Linked DNA regions of Caenorhabditis elegans. The protein of the gene in region 1 purifies or fractionates together with the protein of each later gene. This does not show direct contact. Each region holds a gene or a part of one and is shown on either strand. Other genes may lie near its edges.

Region 1 (10,355 bases):
ATTTTTAGAAAAATGTCATTTTTCATTAAATGTTTATAAAAATTCTGTTATAATATAACAAATGAAAAGGAATCACACATTTGAGCATCAAATCGAAATGATAAAACCCCCGACAAATTTCAGCATTTCAGATTTATCAATCAAGGAATTGAGGATATCTGGTATTTGAATGATTTAATGGTGTACACTGATATGGTCAGAAACCTAAAACTTGAAGATGGGGCAGGATTTAAATTCGAGGATTCAAGTCCAGAAACTGCATTTAGATTTTCTGTTAGTTTTCCCGACAAAAAACATAGAAATAATTTCAAATTTTCAGCTCGCCGTAGATGATTTGAGCACACCAACTGTATTTGTAGGAAAGGTGTTATCAGAAAAGTTGAGAAACTTAAACAGGAAAGTCGAAGTTCATTATGTTTCTGGTGGTCATTTGCTAGATCCTCCATGTTTTCCGCATCACGAAGCTGTGTTTTCAGCTTTTGCAGGTAAATTATTATTTTTTTTGTTGGCCCGCTGTCGACCGCTGTTGCAACATCTAAAATTCCGATTTCATTGATTTTTTATTAAACTTTGTTAACTTTGTTTTCTAAAATTCAAATTTTCAGGAACCTTCCAAGCATATGGTGGTGAAACAAGCCTTCACGGAAAAAGTCAGTTTGAAGTCTGGGAAAAAACTGTCCAATTTTTCTCCGAACACCTCGGCGCGCCAACTCCTCTTCCTGACTATTCGAGACATTTGGCAAAACTTTGAACTTCATTTCTCTGTGCAAATAAAATCATCTCTCCATTTCTTTACTTACAAAAAATTGATTTGAATATAAATACTCTCTTTGTATGTCGAAATGAAATTCCAATCATTTCGAACACAAAAAAAGCGAAAAAAGCATCTGAAATTGCGTTCGACGACAAATTGATAAACGTTTGAGATGGTTGCCGGTGAGTCACAATCAAAATTGAAAAGAGACATACATATTGTGAAGTTATTGTCCCCCACCCGCAATAGGTACAAATGATACATCATTATCGCCTTCAACCTACGCGTTCCATGAATAATTATGCAGAACGACAACAACAAAGGGAGTCGTATTGCAATATGTGTATTGGTACACTGTAATCCGCACGTTGAGCGCACCGAAACGGCTTAGTCAGTTCTTATGAAAAATATTCAGAATACAAAATACATAACCTGTTTTTACGTTCCGAACCGATACCCCTGAATAGGATATGAACTGTAATCAGTTTACGGGCGCGGTTTAACTTTTCAAGAAATGTTAGCATCTGTCCCGAAAAACTGTCATACTCTTTATTAGAAGCGAAACGCTGAATTTTCACATTATATATGGATTCGCAAAGTTTCCAGTTGTTATTTATGTGTTTTTAATACGTTGCAGACGACGTAGTTTATCCCCAAGCTTATTGTCTACATAGATCAAAAACTTGCGTTGCTTTGTATTTGAGTATATAGAATGAAATCACTAGTACTGTAACTTTCCTAAACCTTCTCGTGCACTTTTTATAATTGAAAATTTGACAAAAGGCTAAATTTCGCTAAAATTCTCCAACTTATACGTGTTTTAGGACATTAGGTTTTATTGAATTATTAATAATTTAGCATATTTGCAACGCATACCTGTGTTTAATTAAATATCAATTGAAAACATACCTTACTAATTAAAAATTAGATTAATTATAATGATAGATAAAAATTAGAAAAATTAGATAATTGAAAATTAAAAAATAATTAGTTGACATAAAAACGCGTTATGATTAACCAAAATGCACCAGAAGAATTAAGCAATTTAGTCAACGTTCTTGGAAAATACAACAAAAAATACCACTTTTATTATGAATTTCGGTCTTGTGCCATTTTATACGGATAGTTTGCGATGTGGCGTTGCTCATTTTACAAAAATTGCAAAATTGCCAGTGTAAGTAGAAAATACCAATTAAAAGCTAAAGACGCATTAAGAAATAATTTCCATTTCAAATAAACGTTGTTGAATTAGTAATACGTGTGTTGTTAGTTTAATTTTCATTTAAATCTCACCAAAATTCAATTTTTACTATTTCACCTGCGTGCAATTTTTGACTCATATGCACTACCCAACAAATATGTTATTTCCCTACCTCCCCCTCCCGCAATTGTAAAGCAAAAAAGTAAAAAAATGTTTAAAAAGAGACTCTCAAAATGCAAATGTTTGTTTTGATACCCGCTATCAATCCGCCCTTTTCGCCCATTTTTTCTTCTCTCCCTGATTTTACAGGCCGAGTTTCGTTTGTGTACATGAAGGCAACAGCTCCGCCTCCGTGTTATTTTGCATATATATTTCAGGCAACACCTACGGTTTGTTTGTCCGACACGGTCTCCTTAAAAGGGAGTACTGTAACTGAGCTTTTTTAAAAATGACACTGGTTCTATTTTTCCAATGCAACCTTCCTTTTAAACGTTAGTATAATACTTAAAAACAAAAAAGGAAAGTTTGTTTTTTTTTCTAGTTTCTTAATTAATAAAGTTCGCATGTACTGAAAAAATGACTCTTTTCCTGATGATAATGCAATTTATTTTATACAAATCATAAGTTTCATTAATCAACAGACATCTTAGCATTATGTTTCAGAACATTTTATGTAGATTTGAATTTTAAGGGAAGTTTTAATTTTAAATTCCGTTTTAAAGAAGACCGTTTGCCGTGAGTTTTTTTTTCAGTGTTGTTTTTATTTTAAATGTTTAACTTCAATTTTTTGGCAGTTTTAAAATGAACTTGTATACAAACAATTTCATTAATAATTGTTATTTTGGCTGTACAAGTAAATCACGAACCATAATCAAAGGCTGACTTGTAAGATGTCGGCCGATTTATCTAAGAACGAGATCGCGGGGTGCAGATTTGAAACAATCTGAACCTGTAGACAATATAATCAGCTAAATTTTATTTATTGAACTTTTTCCCAACGCTAATAGTTTCTGAGATAGACACAATCAAATAAATTTCAGAATTATAGATTAAGACCCTTTTGAACATTGAATTTTTAACAAGTCGTAAACATTTCACCTAAATTTTAGAACACGCAGTTTCGATGCTCTGAACTTATTTTTGTCAATTTGTATTCCCATTATCCTCCCCTTATCGCATACTAAAAATTTTTCCATTTTTCGATTTTAGTTTTGACGTGCTTATCTTTTGTCATCCCTTCACAACCAAAACAATTCAGAATAATATAAGGTGTTTACGATCCTTTAATACTCATGAATATGGAAACGTTGTGAAACAGTAGCATTGTGTATAAACACGCCATGACGGCAGCTAGCATCTAGTAATCGGTCACCGAATCGCCGTCGCCACCGCCGTCCGCTTTTGAATAGCGGTCAGTGCGCGTTCGTCAATAGCTCGATGAACCGTTACACTCTCCCAGTTTTTAGTTTCTGTTTCATTTTCTGTTTCATGCCTGGTTTTTTCCTTCTATAATTTGACTATACAGACAATTAGGAGTAAACCCTCCTAGGCATCCTCTTTCCACGCATGCCAAGTCCCGTCAAAATAAATAGTGCGCGCGCCAATTTGTAACACGGTTTTTTGTTCTGTCAAGAGTTAGGGCTCTCGAAACAGCTAATAGATCTCGCGCATTGTCATTGTGTCCTACAAACGATCCATCTCTAATCTGTGTCATATTCACTCATATTCTTGTCACATATGTATAACGTCATTTACTATGAGGTAACTTTTCTACACTTTTTCATCGAAAAATAGTTCGCTGTGTTTTTTTTTTAATTTTCGATTATGAAAATGCAATTAATTGAAAACTATTTAAGTTTCCATGTTTGTAGGAAATGTCGGAGAGCGAATACCGAAGCTCAATTTCGGTTCGACCAACGTTTAACAGAACAATGCAATCCACCGCCACCTATGGAAGTACTATTTGTGAGTTTTCAGATGAATATTTTGAATATGAGCAGTACTTTGTCTTTAAAATTGTATTATATGATGTATTATATGATTTATATTAAAATTAAACCCTCCAAATGTTTTAATTTATGTTTTACAATATTCAATTGGCAATATGCCAAACGTTCAAACAACAACCCTGACCTTTTGAGAAGTTTTGAACATTTTTGCTGATCTGAACTTTCAAAATGTACAAATAAAATCAATTAAAATTCAATTAAAAGAAAAAACTTGTGGAATGTTTTATTGTCTCACTACCAAAATTATGATTGGTGAAAAATGATTAAGTGAACTTTTTTGACTGTAAAGTTAAAAATAAAAATTTAAAAAGTGTTAAAAAATTATTAACATTAATGAATTGATTCCTCTGGAAAACCTACAAATTTTTTTTGTTTTATGGTCATGTTTGTCAAGTGTTATTTTTCAGTTCTGATACACGTTTAAAAACTACTTCAAACTACAAAAACTGACTTCCAAAAATTCAAATTTCAGCTTCTGGAACTAGCCGCACACTCAAGATCACAGAGATCGGTGGATCTAATCTAACATCAGGCATGTCTCCATTCGGAGGCCATGCCGCCTCTGCCATTCGTGAATCTCGTACTCGCGAGAAAAAAGAAATGAGTGAACTCAATGACCGCCTGGCGAGCTACATTGAGAAAGTTCGATTCTTGGAGGCTCAAAATCGCAAGATGGAGAAGGACTTGAATTTGCTCCGTGGAAAATGGGGACACGATTCTACAAGTGTTAAAGTTATGTATGAGACTGAGCTCAGAGTAAGTGAATGAATATTATATACAGCAAAATCTGAGAAACTTTAAATTCTGTTCAGAGTGCGAAAGACCTGATCGCCGATTCTGACAAAGAAAGAGCTCAGCTAGAAGATCAAATTAAGAAACTTGTTGAAGAGCTGAACAACTATAGAAACAAACTTCATGAGGCTGAAAGAGGTGCTGACGTTACACGTAAAGAGCTTGACAATGTGCTCGGAAGACTTGGAGCATTGGAAGCCGAGATTGAGCTATTGAAAAGAAGAATTTCTCTGATGGAAGAAAGCATCGGTCATTTGAAGCGCGAAAATCATCGTATGATCGACTCACTTCATCATGCCAGAAATGTAAGTTTCAGTAGAAAACTTAATTTATATGTACAGCTTTCAGGCTGTGGAACAAGAAACTCTGAACCGCATCGATTATCAAAATCAAGTGCAGACACTACTGGAGGAGTGTGATTTCATTCGCAGAATTCATGATTCGGTATGAAAAACAATTAGTACAGCTTTCAACGAGTGTCTTTTTCAGGAAATCCACGATCTTCTCGCTATGGCATCTCGTGATACTACGGTGGAAAACCGCGAATATTTCAAGAATGAGTTATCCTCTGCTATTCGTGAGATCAGAAGCGAATATGATCATGTGAGAAAAGTCATTAAAAGAGGTAAAAAATAGAGACTTGAATTACAGGTGAGCAACACTACCCGTACTGACATCGAGTCTTGGTACAAGCTGAAGGTTCAAGAAATTCACACTCAAAATTCTCGCAACTGCTTGGAGCAGAATTATGCTCGCGAGGAAGTTAAGAGACTCCGCACAACACTTGGTGATATGCGTGGAAAGATGGCGGATCTAGAAGGAAGAGTTCGTTTTGATGACTATATACATCTGATATTATTTGTCAACATTTCAGAATCTTCTCCTCGAAAAACAAATCGAAGACCTCAACTACCAGATGGAAGAGGATATGAGATCATATGAACAATCACTGAACGATAAGGACACATCGATCAACAAACTTCGTGACGAGAGCAAGATCCTGATGGTTGAGCTTCAAATGCTCATTGATACAAAACAGACTCTCGATGCTGAAATTGTGATCTACCGTAAGATGCTTGATGGAGAAGAGAATCGCGCAGGTCTACGTCAGCTCGTCGAGCAGGTTGTTAAGACAACATCTATTCATCAAACCAAGGAAATTGGTAGGTTCGCGTATACTCAATGTTTACTTCACGTTACGATGACCACAAATTACGGTTAAAATTTAAAGTATACGTCCACTGATAACTTGTTTCAAGTTTTCAAGTCATGCGGTCACCAAACTGTGTAACGTAACTTTATTATTGTTTTCCGCCCAGAGAGACCGCTGGGTGTGTCCCCTTGTTGATATACCTTGGTCAATTTAGTACTCCTATTTAATCGCTTTACTTTTGATTTGGAACAGCATTGTTTCATCTTTAACCCAAAAAAGTAACATGCCAGAAATTCATTGTTCTCAATACGAGACTATCACTTTTGACGACGTTCCCCATACCCATTACCTTGTCGGTGATAAAATTCGCAGAAAGCCGCACGGTAAGATTAATAGGAGTAATAGGTGTCACGAGGCATTGTTAGTTGCAAATTTATATCAGTTTTTGTGTTTTGTTGCAGAGAGTCTTCGAGTTCTCAAAGGTGAAACGACTAGTCATTCGTCGTATTCCAGATCAGCAAAAGGAAATATTGCAATTCAGGTGAGTGGAAATTACATCCCAAAAATTGATGTATATTCTGAAAAAAACAATTATAGCAAAATTTTGAAAGCAATCATGGACATTTTTTGAGCGAGTTTTTGCCTGCAATTTCCACTGAACACTTCAGAAAATGACTATTCTTCAAAATGGCCGTGCACAAAATTTAGAAATATGTGCCTGGTGTGACGATTTTGCATGATCCGACATTAACCGGGTTCGCTGCTCACTCAGAACCTAGTCCTGTGCAAAACCAAATATATGTCGGATCATGCTGAACAAAAACTTTCCTTAAAGTGGCCGTGCCCAAATTTCTGAAAACAGTGTTTTCGATTTTTCATTTTTGCAAGAAAAAAATCCACCATTTTCAGGAAGCCGAGCCATCTGGAAAGTACATTGTACTGGAGAACATCTCAAGACGTGATGAGAACATCGGAGACTGGAAACTCCGTCGGAAGATTGCCGGAAAACGCGAAATCGTGTTCACCTTCCCGCGCGAGTTCACCCTTCGTGCTCAAAAGAGCGTGAAAATTTTCGCACGTGGGCAGGGAGTTCATTCCCCACCCGATAGTCTTGTGTACGACCTCGAAGACTCGTTCGGCACCGGAAACGACGTCGTTACTACTCTCTACAACAAAGAAGGAGAGGTAAGCGTCAATAAATTATGCGCGCTGGAACTGACTGGAAACGTTATTTATCTTGTTTCAGGACCGTGCTTCCCACAGCCAACGTGCTTCACACACCTAATTGCATCAACCAATTAAATCCTATTGAACCCGGAATTACTCTCGCTTGCCTCAACTCTCTACTTTTAATGTTTGATCGAATCTTGACCCAAGATACATTTGTTCTCACCGTTAGCCATTCCTATAAATGTTCGGATTTTCAGAATAAACCAATACTGTTTTGAACCGCCAAAGTGAAACATTGATTTTCGTTTCATATCATACGAAAAGCCTTTCATTTTTTGGCTAACTCTCTAACATTTCCATTGCTTTACCATGTGCTTTTTCCATCAATTAACATTTGTAAACTATAAACTGCTTATTTTATTTCTGATCAGTTTGCTTGGTTATTTTTTTGGGAACTTTTTGTTGGACAACTGGGGGAATAGAAATGGGTAAATGCACAGGGAAAGTAAGGAGAAATGACATATAGAAACAAATACAGAAAAAAGTGATTCGTGGGAAAATGTAAACTTTCCAGAGTCTGATGATTGAATAATGCGGTAAGGAATGAAGCCAATTCTTGAGTGGGGGTTTGTGAGAGGGAAAAACTTGAAATAACTGAAGTGGGATAAAGCCGATAGCTTGACACGTGGATCGACAAAAATACACAGATAACATGAACGCTAAAATTTTGAAAGTAAGGAGCTCAGGCAATGACAGTTAGTGGGGTGGAGGTCCCTGAACATCCCAAGTCGAAAGATGTCTCCAAGACTTCTGAATTCTCATCTCCATTCTCATCTTGCTTCTTGAACTCGGCCAACTTCTTCATCAAGTCTTTTTCGGTTTCTTCGACGCGCAAGATGTCACTGAAATTTAAAAAAACAATTAAACAAACAGTTCTTCTAAAGTGCATTTCGTTTGTCAATTTTGTGGTCCAAGTTGCAGAATTTTGAATACATTTGGTCGACGTGACGTCCTTGATAAGGCAATCAGCCGAACACTCTCAATGTCAATAGATAAAGGACGACGTGGTCACAATCACGTGGATCGATATGATCATCATAATTTCCGGGGTCTCTTTTGTCTGGCATAGTTCAAAGTTCAAAGATCTTACCTTCTAGTCTTGTTGATTGCTTCTTTTGTAGCTGCTAGCGAAGCCTTCAGCTTGTGCGATTTCTTGAGCTCAAGTTGGTATTGTTGCGGCCAGTTTGCAGCGATCATCGGCTTCAGAATTGCTCGCAAATTTTTCTGTTGCTTAAGCAGTTGACGAAGCTCTTCCTCCTGCACAAGATACTCGGCGACTTCTTGTTGATTCATCGTTTCCGACAACTTTTTCACGTCGGCTCTGAAATTTCTTCAATTGGGAGTAAGGCACAACCAATCAGATCACCAAAGACTCACCTTTTGAAACAATCAAAATCGTCTTTCTGTGGGATAGTGGCGGCGCCCATCGTGATATTCTTTTTCTCCATGACTGACATGTAGTCTGAAATGAGATTATATACTAGAAGACATGGTCGGATGACGATGAACTATCCGGTCAGGTCGCGTGGGCGGTCTTTCATACTATTTTCAACCAAAAACCGGAGGAGGATGTGAGATAGTGTGACACAAAATTTGCAACACTGCTAGATTTCTAAAAATATAGTTGCCGAATTCAAATTGACGTAATATGTATTTTTTTCTTTTTCAAAAATCACATTTTTGATTGTATTTTTTTAAAAACTGAAAAATAAAATAAAATTGAAAGTGACGAAAAATGGTTCACCGCGGGGAGTGGCCAAACTAAAATCATCTATAAATAAAAGTAAAACTGATTTAAACTTTAAATGGCTTAGATAACGTTAAGGGGACAATTTTCAAAAAAGATAGAGAGTAAGAAAGAGAGAGAGAGAACGATTGAACAAATGACAGACAAGTTTTTTTTCATTCTGCAATCAACTGAAGCGGTCAACACCGGGAGGTTATCGAGAACCATGTACCGAACGTGAAAAAATCAAATAGAAGCAGTCTTTTGTTGACAATGATTTGTACTTTTCCGGGGGGCCGTCTTTGTGTTTCCGTTAGTACTTTACTTTTCAAAAAGTTGGGTGCCAGTTTTCAAAAAATGAAATGATAATGAACAAAGATATATGATAAAAAATTGGAATTTAAAACTTTTGATTTTTTTAATAAAAAACTCAGATGACATTTTGACTATAAAAGAATAGCTCTAGTCAGAAAATTTCATAACAATAAGGTGATGAACCAGAAAAATTGAGAAGTTGGGAAAAATTGTTCAAAAATTTGTATTTTATAAGATCAAATTGGGTCCTATCTGGTTTCATACGAGAAATGTATGTATGACTAATTGATAAGAATCCAAAATGTTCGATTTTGTCGAAGAAATCTAAAATACAGCTTCCGCTATTTAAGATAGTTTGAGCTCATTTAAATTTTTAATTTTCTCAAAAATGTTAAATGTTAGGAAATGCATACAGTGTGACTCATAGCCAGAGACGAGGGGATATCGAAACTGTTCAAATTTTCGAAAATTCCGATTGCCAGAAAATTTGAAACACATCAATACTTAAACAAATTTCACTTTTTGATACTTGGTTATTCACTAAAAAACGAAAAAAAAATTAAATTTTTGAGTTCGTTTTGAGTTCAATTATTTTTGGTAATTCTACAAAAAATTCCTATTGCGCCATGTTTTTTGAACGTTGGTTGTTGGAAATTAATATTAAAATAGAGAAAATCAGTTAATATATCTGAAAATATGCATCAACTATAGCTGACAATTTTGAAAAAAGGGCTCAAAATCAGCCTGAAAATTGACAATCGGTAATTATCCATTTTTAAAATTTGATTTTTCGGCACTTGACATCTTTCCAGCCTGTTTTGAGCATGTTGTTCAAACATGTCAGCTGTAATTGATGTTTTTAATCAAAAAATCAAGTGAGTTGCTGTATTTGAATTTAATTTTTTCAAATACGTTGGAACAGCATGGTGCAATATGTCACTTTGAAGAAATGCTGAAAAAAATTCTACCCAGCTTTAATTTTGAGCTCAACGAGTGAAAAAATCAATTTGAAACATGAATATCTAGTGTGACAAAACGTTTCAATGGTAAAATAACACAATTCTAAGTGATATGTGCGGTCACTTCCTTCTGCTGGCCGACATTTGGATCACTTCCTTTGAGAAAAAAAGTCAGAAAAAAAGTGTTGGCCGGTATACAATTGCGACGATTCGGTT
Region 2 (9,592 bases), on another chromosome or scaffold:
ATATATATATATATATAGTTTAAATTTCTGAAATCCAGTAAAGGAATTTTTTTTTTAATTTTGAAAGTTTGGAAAAAAACAATTTTTGCAATTTTTTTTTTTTAAATTTAAAAGTTTAATTTCAAAAACTCATAACTTCTTTAATTTTGAATATATGCAGCTAATTATGAATTCAAATTATGAATAAAATATTATTTAGTAAAAATATTTACTTTCAAATTTTTTGGCCACAAAGCTACAAAGCTACCTCCACGAGTTTTTGAGGCAAGACTCCAGAATTTTCAAAAAAATTTAGAGTGTCTAGTTTAAAACCCCGTAACTTGTTCAACTTTACATATTTCGAGCTGATTTTTTATGTGGAGCCTAAATAAAATATTTGTTTAAAATTGGGTACACTTTTGAAAAATTAAACCTCAAAACTACAGTACCCCACGTGTTTTCGCTGCGGGACTCCAGAATTTTCAGAAACTTTTTTTTTGCTCTTGTCCTTCTCCTTCTCTCTTCATGAGCTCAATTACTATGCATTTTCGGCTTCCAAGTAATATTATTTACATAAATTATAGAATTTATATTATTTCGAGCACTTTTTCGAGTTGTTCGGCTTCTTTTTTTTTTCTGAAAAAAATTCTGAAAATTTTTTTTTTATTTAAAAAATTTTTTCTTGACTTTTTCTAATTTTTTTTTTGTATTTTACGCTTTTTTATCAAAAACATAAGAAAAATTTCAGATTTTCCATGAAAATGGAGTCATTATCCCATTTGACACCGATAGACAGGGAAATTCTGAACAAGTCCTGGGGAATTGTGTCCAAGTGAGTTTTTTTTCCAAATTTTAAGATTATTTTAAATACTTCAGTGGATTTTATTAAATAATTTGAGTTCAGCTCATTGAGAGCTTTCATTTGACCCCAAATATGGCTTGGTTCCGCTGATTTTCAGAAAAAATGGGTCCCGCCACGAAAGTCTTGGGTTACTGTAGATTTGTTTGAATTTTTGTTAATTTTTTTGATGTTGCGTATAACAAACATTTATTGTAAACTTAAAAGCAAAATATGAGCAAAAATTTCAAAAATTGAAAAAGTTATGAATTTTTGAGCCCCGCCACGAAAACTCCTGGGTTACTGTAGTTTTTTGGGTGACTGTTACAAAACTAATTTTAAATAGTTAATAGGTACTAATAGAGATTAATAAAACAAAAATTAGCAAAAAATCTCGAAACATGAAAAAGTTATGAATTTTCGAAAATGTCAGATTTTTCAAAAAATTTCCAAAAATTTTTTTTTTCAGAGACATGCAACAAGTGGCTGTAAATATATTCCAAATGATATTCGAACAAGCTCCCGATGCAAAACTCATGTTCTCCTTCATGATGAAAGACTATAAGTATCGATTTTCCAGAAAAATACTCAAAATAACCACCCCAAAAATTTCAGAGAGGACAAAAAGAGCAACGAGTTCATTTTTCACGCAGTGCGGTTTTTGCAGGTGGGTTTAAACATTTTTTTACATAAAAAAATGAGTTCAGCTCATTGAGACCTTTAAAATGACCCCCCACATGTCTTGTTTTAAAAAAATGACACGAAATTCCATGGCTCCGCCCCCAAAAAGTGGGCGGGGCCTAAATAGCTAAAGAAAAATGTATAGTTATATTAAAGTTCTCAGTGGGGTAAATTAAACTTAGTATCATTTTTAAAAAATATTCGAAAAGTACGGAAAATTGTTTGAAAAATCATAATCTCCCAAATTTCGCAATATTTCCAAGAAGTGGGCGGAGCCTAAATGGTTTTTTTACGAAACCTAGTCGTGTTTATACTTAAATCAAAGCTCCTGTCCGGGAGATTTCAAAAATCCTAAAATCAATATCCACTCTACTAAAATGGGTGAGTAGCGACTCAAAAACAACTAAATTTAATAAAATTTTCAATTTTTACCTTAATTTCATTGATTTTATCAATTTTTTGCAGGTTATCGAGTCAACAATGACACATTTGGAAGATCCTGCTCAACTCGACGCGGTTTTTCTAAATTTGGGAAAAATCCACGCAAAACATGAAGAACAGCTGGGTTTTAGGTAGGCCGCCGGGGGGGGAGGGGTTTAAAAAATCAATAATTTATTGATTTTTTGATTCTTAATTTCAGCGCTCATTATTGGTCGGTTTTCAAGGAATGTGTGTTGTTTCATTTTCGGAAAGCAATGAAATCACATAATAAGTGAGTTTTATCAATTTTTCAAAATCTGTGCAAAAAAAAATCAATTAATTATCGATTTTACCGCCAAAAAATCGATAAATCACCGATTTTCTACAAATTTTACCCATGAAAATCCCAGATTTCACAGGTTCCACAAGCGAAATGAAATGTCGTTTGCCGAAATCGATTCGGCCATTATTCTGTGGCGGGAGGTGCTCCGCTTCATCATTGATCGCATGAAGGTCGGATATTCCGAGTCGGGAGCTATTAGAAAATCCAATAAACAGGTTTGCTCAAGGAAAATTAGAAAAAATAGTGAAAATCTGGCAAAAAAAAAGGAGGAAAATCGATTGAAAATGAAGAAAAAAAATCGATTTTTCAAAAAAAAAAAAGTTTAAGTGGGCGGAGCCAAAAATAATGGGCGGAGCTTAATATTAAAGTTCTCCGCGTGACAAAGTTAAATTTAATGATAATATTGAAGAAATGTAATGAAAAATTGTTTGAAAAATCATAATCTCCCAAATTTCGCAATTTTTTCCAAGAAGTGGGCGGAGCCTAAATCGTTTTTCGATCGGAACCTAGTCGTGTTTATACTTAAATAAAAGCTCTCAAAGTGGCTAAACTGAATTTCACTAAATCTAAATGAAAACAACAGTATTTTCTCGAAAAACTGAAGTTTCACAATATTTTTCAACAAGTGGACGGAGCCTAAATTGTTTTTGCACGGAACCTAGTCGTGTTTATACTTAATTTGAAGCTCTCAGTCTGACAAATCTATATTCTCATAAATAATTGTGAAATCTCGAAAATTGGCTGAGTAGCGACTCGAAGTATTTTTCAAAATTTAGATTTTTACAAATTTCTACATAAATCAGTCAAAAATCAATATTTTCAAACGATCTAAAAATCAGTCGATGGATAAATTTTCAGACTACTGCTGACTTAGTTTTCATATTGAAAAATCAATAAATTTCAGGCAATAAACGGCCAGCACTCGATATCCGGCGATGACTCGGGCCTAAGCTCGGGCTTAAGCGTCGAAACGAAACAGGACCTTACTCAGGTGAAAATTTCTGCATTTTCTGGCAGACAACATCGCACGGCTTCCACCCGTCACAGCTTGGCCTACATAACTGCCACACCGGCAGAGCCGATGACGTCATCGACCTGTAACTTTCTGAAAACGCTGGCCTCAATGTCGCCGAAATGTGTTAGACGACGATTTTCAGCATCTCCAAATGCTAGAATGCATGTTTAAAATGATATTTTTGTAGTTATTGTGATTTTTCAATATTTAACAATTTTTTAAATTTTTATAAAAAAATTGAAAAAAATAGATTTTTTTCAAAAATAATTTTTTTGCTTTTTTCAACGGGTATGGTCCCGAATTTCACAAATATTCCAATTTTTTGTTGGCTGGCTCAATTGCACGAAATGCTCGGCGGGATATGTAAGTTTTTATTTCTAAAATTTTTTTTTTAAATCAATATTTCTCAAAAAAAAATTCCAAAAAAAAATCGATAATTTTTTCTTCAAAAAAATCTAATTTTCAGGCTCTACGTCGCCGCGAATTATCGATTATTGTACCCGAATATTTCATTTGTCGCCGAAAATCCGACGTCGAACCATTCGAGGAATCTTCGCCGACTCCTTCGTAAAGTTATCGATTTTTTTTTGAATTTTTTGATTATTTTCGTATATTATATATATATTATCGATTTTTAAATTTTTACTATGATTTTTGTTTTTTGATTTTCAAATACATGAAAATCTCCTTCCCTAATTTTTTTTCCTTTTTTCCCACAAAAAGTTCACACCTCACTGGGCACGCCGAGAGCCCGACCAGCAGGTGGAAATCAGAAAAACTCTTATCAATTAGGGGGTGCGGCGAGGTTTCCGTGGTAACTGGTCGCCTTCCTCTCCCCGAAGGAAAAGCTCCAACTTCTTTTTATTTTTGTTGTCAGCTTTGTTGCTTTACGAATTCCCCTTTTTTCTCTTATTTCTGCCAAGGTGCCAAAATGAGCAGCAGCGAGGATAATCGCAGAACTAAGAAGGACTATAAGAAAAGGTAAGCAAGATTTGTCTGAAAATGTGCTTTTAGAGTTGATATCTTGAATTTTAAAGTGAAAAATTTGAATTCTCCGCTATGAAAAACCTGAATACCCCAGCGGGGGCTCGAACCCCTGACCTTTTCACCAAAACCAGCCCTGTTACCGACTGCGCCACCGGTACGCCGAGCCAGGCGCTGCTGCTGCGCGTAATGGGCGCCGTGGCGCAGTGGGTAAGAGGTTTGACCTCTGTGAAAAAGGTCGCGGGTTCGAGTCCCCGGCAGTGTATTTAGGTTTTTCATGGCGGAGAATTCGAATTTTTCACTATAAAACTTGAAAATATATCAAGTACGGGTGTTTTCTAGCAATCTTCTTTTTTTTTTGAATTCTAAATTTCAGGTCAAAACAAAACAGGGAAAGGTCTAGAAGGTATGTTAGTCACTTTTAAAATCAAAAAAAAAAATTAAAATTGACGCTTTTGCAGTCCAATTGCAAGAAACCGCAGCCGCTCAACAAGCCGTGGGACGTTTGAGGAGATTGAGTATATTGATTTTTGTAGTTGGAAAATATTTTGAAACTATCTATATATATGGGAAGAAGTATCTTATTTATCTATTGTGTTGTGTTTTTTTGGAAACATGGATTACATGGCAAATTGCTCATTTATTATTTTTATAGAGTTACTTGGCTTGGAATTTTAAATTTTGAGCATTTCGAGCCCAGCTATGGCTCAAAATTGAATTTTAGGACAATTTTTTCAGAAAAAAACCAAATGTTATGCCAAATTAAACAAAAAAAAGTTGTTACCACTAGTGGGACTCGAACCCTTGACCTATTTTCGAAGTCAAGGCTGTAACCAGCTGAGCCATTGGAACAATTTTTTATTTAAAATTTTTTGCTAAATCCGAAAATCTAGGTTATATTGCTCTCCGAGCATTATGAGCCAGGCTATGGCTCAATATATGATTTGTTGTGTTGATATCAATTTATTGTAACAAAAAAAAATTTTTATCACTACTGTATCACTATTTTCATCGATCTATCTATGTCCTTCCTATTTTTCGAAAAATTCAAAAAATGCAAACAAGTTTAGCCCAATTTTCTCCCGTTTTAATCCAAAATTGTCGAAAATTCCAGCTCCCCAGTCCGTGACCGTTCTCGGACACCGAAGGCTCCCCAATTCAACTGCCGTCAGTGCCGGAAAGCTTTCGACTCGATTCGGGAGCTCGCGGAGCACGAGATTAAAAATCATGAAGATCAATTTAATTGCTATCATTGTGACAAGGTAAATGGACTAGAAATATTGATTTTTTAAAAATAATATTGATTTTGGGAAGATATCGATTTTATGGAAATTAATGGTTTTTGAAAAATTATAGATTTTTCTAGAAATATTAATTTTTCTAGAAATATTAATTTTTCTAGAAATATTAATTTTTCTAGAAATATTAATTTTTCTAGAAATATTAATTTTTCTAGAAATATTAATTTTTCTAGAAATATTTATTTTTTTAAAATATTGATTTTCAGAAATTATCGATTTTATGGAAATTAATGGTTTTTGAAAAATATTGATTTTTGGAAGAATATTGACTTTTCTAGAAATATTGAATTTTTGAAAAAAGAATGATTTTCTGAAAAATATCGATTTTAGGTGTATTGATTTTTGGAAAAAGTATCGATATTTAGAAATTATTGATTTTTGGAAATTATTGATTTATGAAGAAATAATGATTTTTCTAGAAATATTAATTTCTGGAAAAAAACTATGATTTTTGGAATATATTGATTTATGGAAAATTTTCGGAAAAAACATTAATTTCTGGAGGAATATTGATTTTTCTAGAAATATTGATTATTGGATAAATAATGATTTTTGGAAATTATTGATTTTTGGAAATTATCGATTTGTTGGAAATTATTGATTTATGGAGAAATAATAATTTTTCTAGAAATATTAATTTCTGGAAAAAACTATGATTTTTTAGAAATTATTGATTTTTGGAGGAACATAGATTTTTTCTAGAAATATTGATTTTTCTAGATATATTGAAAATTATTGATTTTTGGAAAAATTATTGATTTTTGGAGGAATATTGATTTTTCTAGGAATATCGATTTTTGGGGAAAAAACTAACTTTTTTCAGAAATCCGAATCAATTGAGCGCCTGGCGGCCCATACCGCCCACCGACACGGCCCAAAGCCTGTAATCTGCGCGTATTGCCAGGAGCCATTTGGTAAAAGCTCTGAATTAATGTCAGATGATGATTGGGACGAGTTCAGGGATCATATTTTTAAGGTTTGAAGAATTTTTGGGTTTTAAAACGTATTTTTTGAGCAAAATCCAAAAAATTTAGTTTATTTTGCTTCCTGAGATTTTCGATTTTCGAGTTATGGCTCAAATTGGGATTTTAGAACAATTTTTCAAATAAAAAAAATTTAAAAAAAAAACAATTACCACTGGTGGGACTCGAACCCTTGACCAATTCTTTCGAAGCAAAACCTGTAACCAGCTGAGCCGTTGGAACCTTTTTCAAAATCTAATTTTCCAGGAGACAGTAAAAAAGCGGATGTATCGCCATGGAAGCCGTAATTCCAGTCAAAATGTCTCAGTTGGTGGTGCTCTCCGTGGAGTTGGATCCTGTCCTCATGGCCCGCCGGTCAAGTGCAAGTGAGCAATTTTTTCTGAATTTTGAGCACATTTCAGAAGCTCAAAACAACGGTTTTCACCAAAAAAAAGTTTCCAGAAACTTCCCCCAATGTCCTGGAGCCAAATGCATATATTCCCATAATATGTGCCGTTATGAGGACACTTGTAACAAATCCACATGTCCATTTGATCATTCAAACCGCCCGAGAACCTGCATGACCTGCGTCAACGATATGAAGTCCAGACGTCGAAATTATTGACTTTTCAGAAAAGTTAAAAATTATTTTTTTGCTTATTTAATATAGTTGGTTTCCTAAAAATTTAGAAAATTCTGTCTGGAAAAGTCTGAAATAAATATTTTTTTTCCCGGTAAAAATTAATGTGTGTAAGATATAGTTTAGGCATGAATCTGTAATTTGGTACAGTTTTAACAATTTTGGGTTTTTATACTCAAAAATGTGGTCAAAACTTTTAAGATTTTTAATTCGAAATGTAACAAACAATATTCGAGACTTTTCAGAGCCTACTTTTTAAAAAGTTTTTAGATAAATTTCACAAATTCGCTAATTCTGAAGAATTCCAAATATTATGAGATTTTTTTTGGCGGGAATTCAAATTTCTGAGAGAAAAATATGGCGGTAATCCAAATTTCTGTAAAAAATTTTGACGGGAATATAAATATTCTGAGAAAAATTTCGGCGGTAATTCAAATTTCTGAGGAAAGATTTGGCGGGAATTCAATTTTTTTAAATTTCGGCGGGAATTCAAAATTCTGTGAATATTTTTGGCGGGAATTCAAATTTCTTTTTAAAAATTTTGGCGGGAATTCAAAATTCTGTGAATATTTTTGGCGGGAATTCAAAATTCTGTGAATATTTTTGGCGGTGATTCGAATTACTGTTAAAAAATTTGGCGGGTGTTAATTTTTTTTTTTTAGTTTCGGCGGGAATTCAAAATTCTGTGAATATTTTTGGCGGGAATTCAAATTTCTTTTTAAAAAATTAGCTTTCAAAAAATTCCCCATAAAAAGTTTGCCTGCAAATATTCGTACTATTTCTTTACATAATGACTCATATTCCAAAAGTTTCGAAATTTTCTCCGATTTTCCATGATTTATATCAAAATTCCGCAAATTTTCTGAAAATTCATTTATTAAAGATGTCAAATGACAATTTTCTAATGTTTTAATCAATTTTTCATTTAATGAATCACTGTTTGCCCACTTTTTGGAAGGGGAGTGATGACAATATGATAAGCTGATAAGTATGGGTTGAAACGAAAATCGATGTTTGCCTGCTTTCCACATTTTTTCATTTTTCTACGTGTTATCTAGTTTTTGAAGGCATTTCACCTAATTTTTTCGCTTTTGAAATTTGAAATTTTGATTTTCTAACCGTTTTTTGCCTTCTTTTTTTGATTTTTCAAGGTTCTTTTGAGCTTTGAGCCCATTGGGAATTTTCGGGTCCCGCCACGAAAAATCGTGTAGTTTCATACATAAACAACTTGATCAAATAGTAGAAAATAAAATTCCTAACATTTTGCAAAAAAATGATCAAAAAATCTTAAAAATTAAAAAAAATATTTCTTTCAAAATATTTTTTAACGAAATTTTAGATATTAAAATATGATACTAGATAATATATTACTTTTGTTTTCTTTTTAATTTTAATTCTCCAAAAACCCACTGAAATTCAATTTTAAAAAATTCGGATTTTGGGTCCCGCTACGAAACCTCTTGGGGTACTGTAGTTTGTTAACCTATTTTATTTACTATAAAATTACCGTACAGAAACAAATTTTTCTACATTTGGAGTCAAAACCAGCTAAATATCTCTTAAATTGAAAGAGTTACGAAATTTAAAAATTTTTTAAAAATATTCAAAATTTTTTTTTCGAATTTTTCTAATACTAAATTTCAGAAATTAATAGCTAAACTATTTTATTTTAAACTATTTTGAATTAAATTAATTCTAAAAATTTGACCCCATGTGCTTACAAACAGAAGTTATAAATTTTCGGGTCCCTCCGCGAAAACTCATGGGCTACTGTATTTTGAAACTTTTATCAAAATTTGACAATTTTTCTAGAAAGATGAAGTAATTGACATTATTTTAAGTTAAAATTCAGCTAAAAATCTTGAAAACTGAAAAAGCTATGGAATTTCAAAAAATTGGAAAATTAATGCAGAAATTTTTTTTCTGCAAAAAAAAACAATTTTTTTTAATTAACAAATTTTAACATTTAAAAAATTCAACCCTAAATTTATATTTATGAAGTTATATAGTTCTTAAAAATAAAATTAAAAAATATATATATATATATATATAAACTACAAAACCTACAGTACCCTAGGAGTTACGTGGCGAGACCCATAAAATTTGGAATTTTATGTAAAATTGGCGGAGCAAAGGCTTGTGCGGGCTCATTTTGAAGTTAAAATGAACTTGATTTATTCAAAATGTTAAATTTACAGTATTTATAACTTCTCTTTTAGAAATTGAAAATTAAAAAAATTTTCGAAATTTTTAGAAATTCATTTTTTTGTGAACTTTTTTTTTCCATTTTTTCAAGACTTTTATTTAAAAAAAAACATTATAAATTTCTTTTCAGATCAAAAAAATGGGTAACCCAGAAACAGCGCAAGTGTACCCAGTCGCTACGGGACCCCAAATGGATTCAGCTCCGCCCCCGTATACGGTAGTGG

Evidence for each region.
Region 2: the proteins of ifa-4 (region 1) and Y22D7AL.16 fractionate together in Caenorhabditis elegans (co-fractionation; one large-scale study listed by BioGRID). This does not show direct contact.

Annotation. Positions count from the first base shown.
Region 1 is NC_003284.9:4,909,451-4,919,805, reverse strand, and holds ifa-4 (Intermediate filament protein ifa-4), read left to right. Parts: upstream 1-3,826; 5' UTR 3,827-3,829; coding exon 3,830-3,920; intron 3,921-4,436; coding exon 4,437-4,720; intron 4,721-4,776; coding exon 4,777-5,061; intron 5,062-5,104; coding exon 5,105-5,200; intron 5,201-5,245; coding exon 5,246-5,359; intron 5,360-5,407; coding exon 5,408-5,581; intron 5,582-5,630; coding exon 5,631-5,919; intron 5,920-6,370; coding exon 6,371-6,450; intron 6,451-6,818; coding exon 6,819-7,094; intron 7,095-7,155; coding exon 7,156-7,194; 3' UTR 7,195-7,498; downstream 7,499-10,355. Other genes in the region: K05B2.4 (Acyl-coenzyme A thioesterase 1-like), read left to right, coding at 132-273, 320-485, 606-751; K05B2.2 (Ras-associating domain-containing protein), read right to left, coding at 7,822-7,981, 8,230-8,460, 8,517-8,601.
Region 2 is NC_003281.10:1,659,768-1,669,359, reverse strand, and holds Y22D7AL.16 (C2H2-type domain-containing protein), read left to right. Parts: upstream 1-4,143; 5' UTR 4,144-4,207; coding exon 4,208-4,257; intron 4,258-4,636; coding exon 4,637-4,666; intron 4,667-4,721; coding exon 4,722-4,778; intron 4,779-5,374; coding exon 5,375-5,522; intron 5,523-6,384; coding exon 6,385-6,537; intron 6,538-6,790; coding exon 6,791-6,909; intron 6,910-6,985; coding exon 6,986-7,148; 3' UTR 7,149-7,256; downstream 7,257-9,592. Other genes in the region: glb-30 (Globin domain-containing protein), read left to right, coding at 741-811, 1,287-1,382, 1,433-1,484, 1,964-2,070, 2,139-2,210, 2,338-2,476, 3,166-3,447; Y22D7AR.3 (Ovule protein), read left to right, coding at 3,567-3,639, 3,743-3,867; Y22D7AL.15 (LITAF domain-containing protein), read left to right, coding at 9,508-9,592.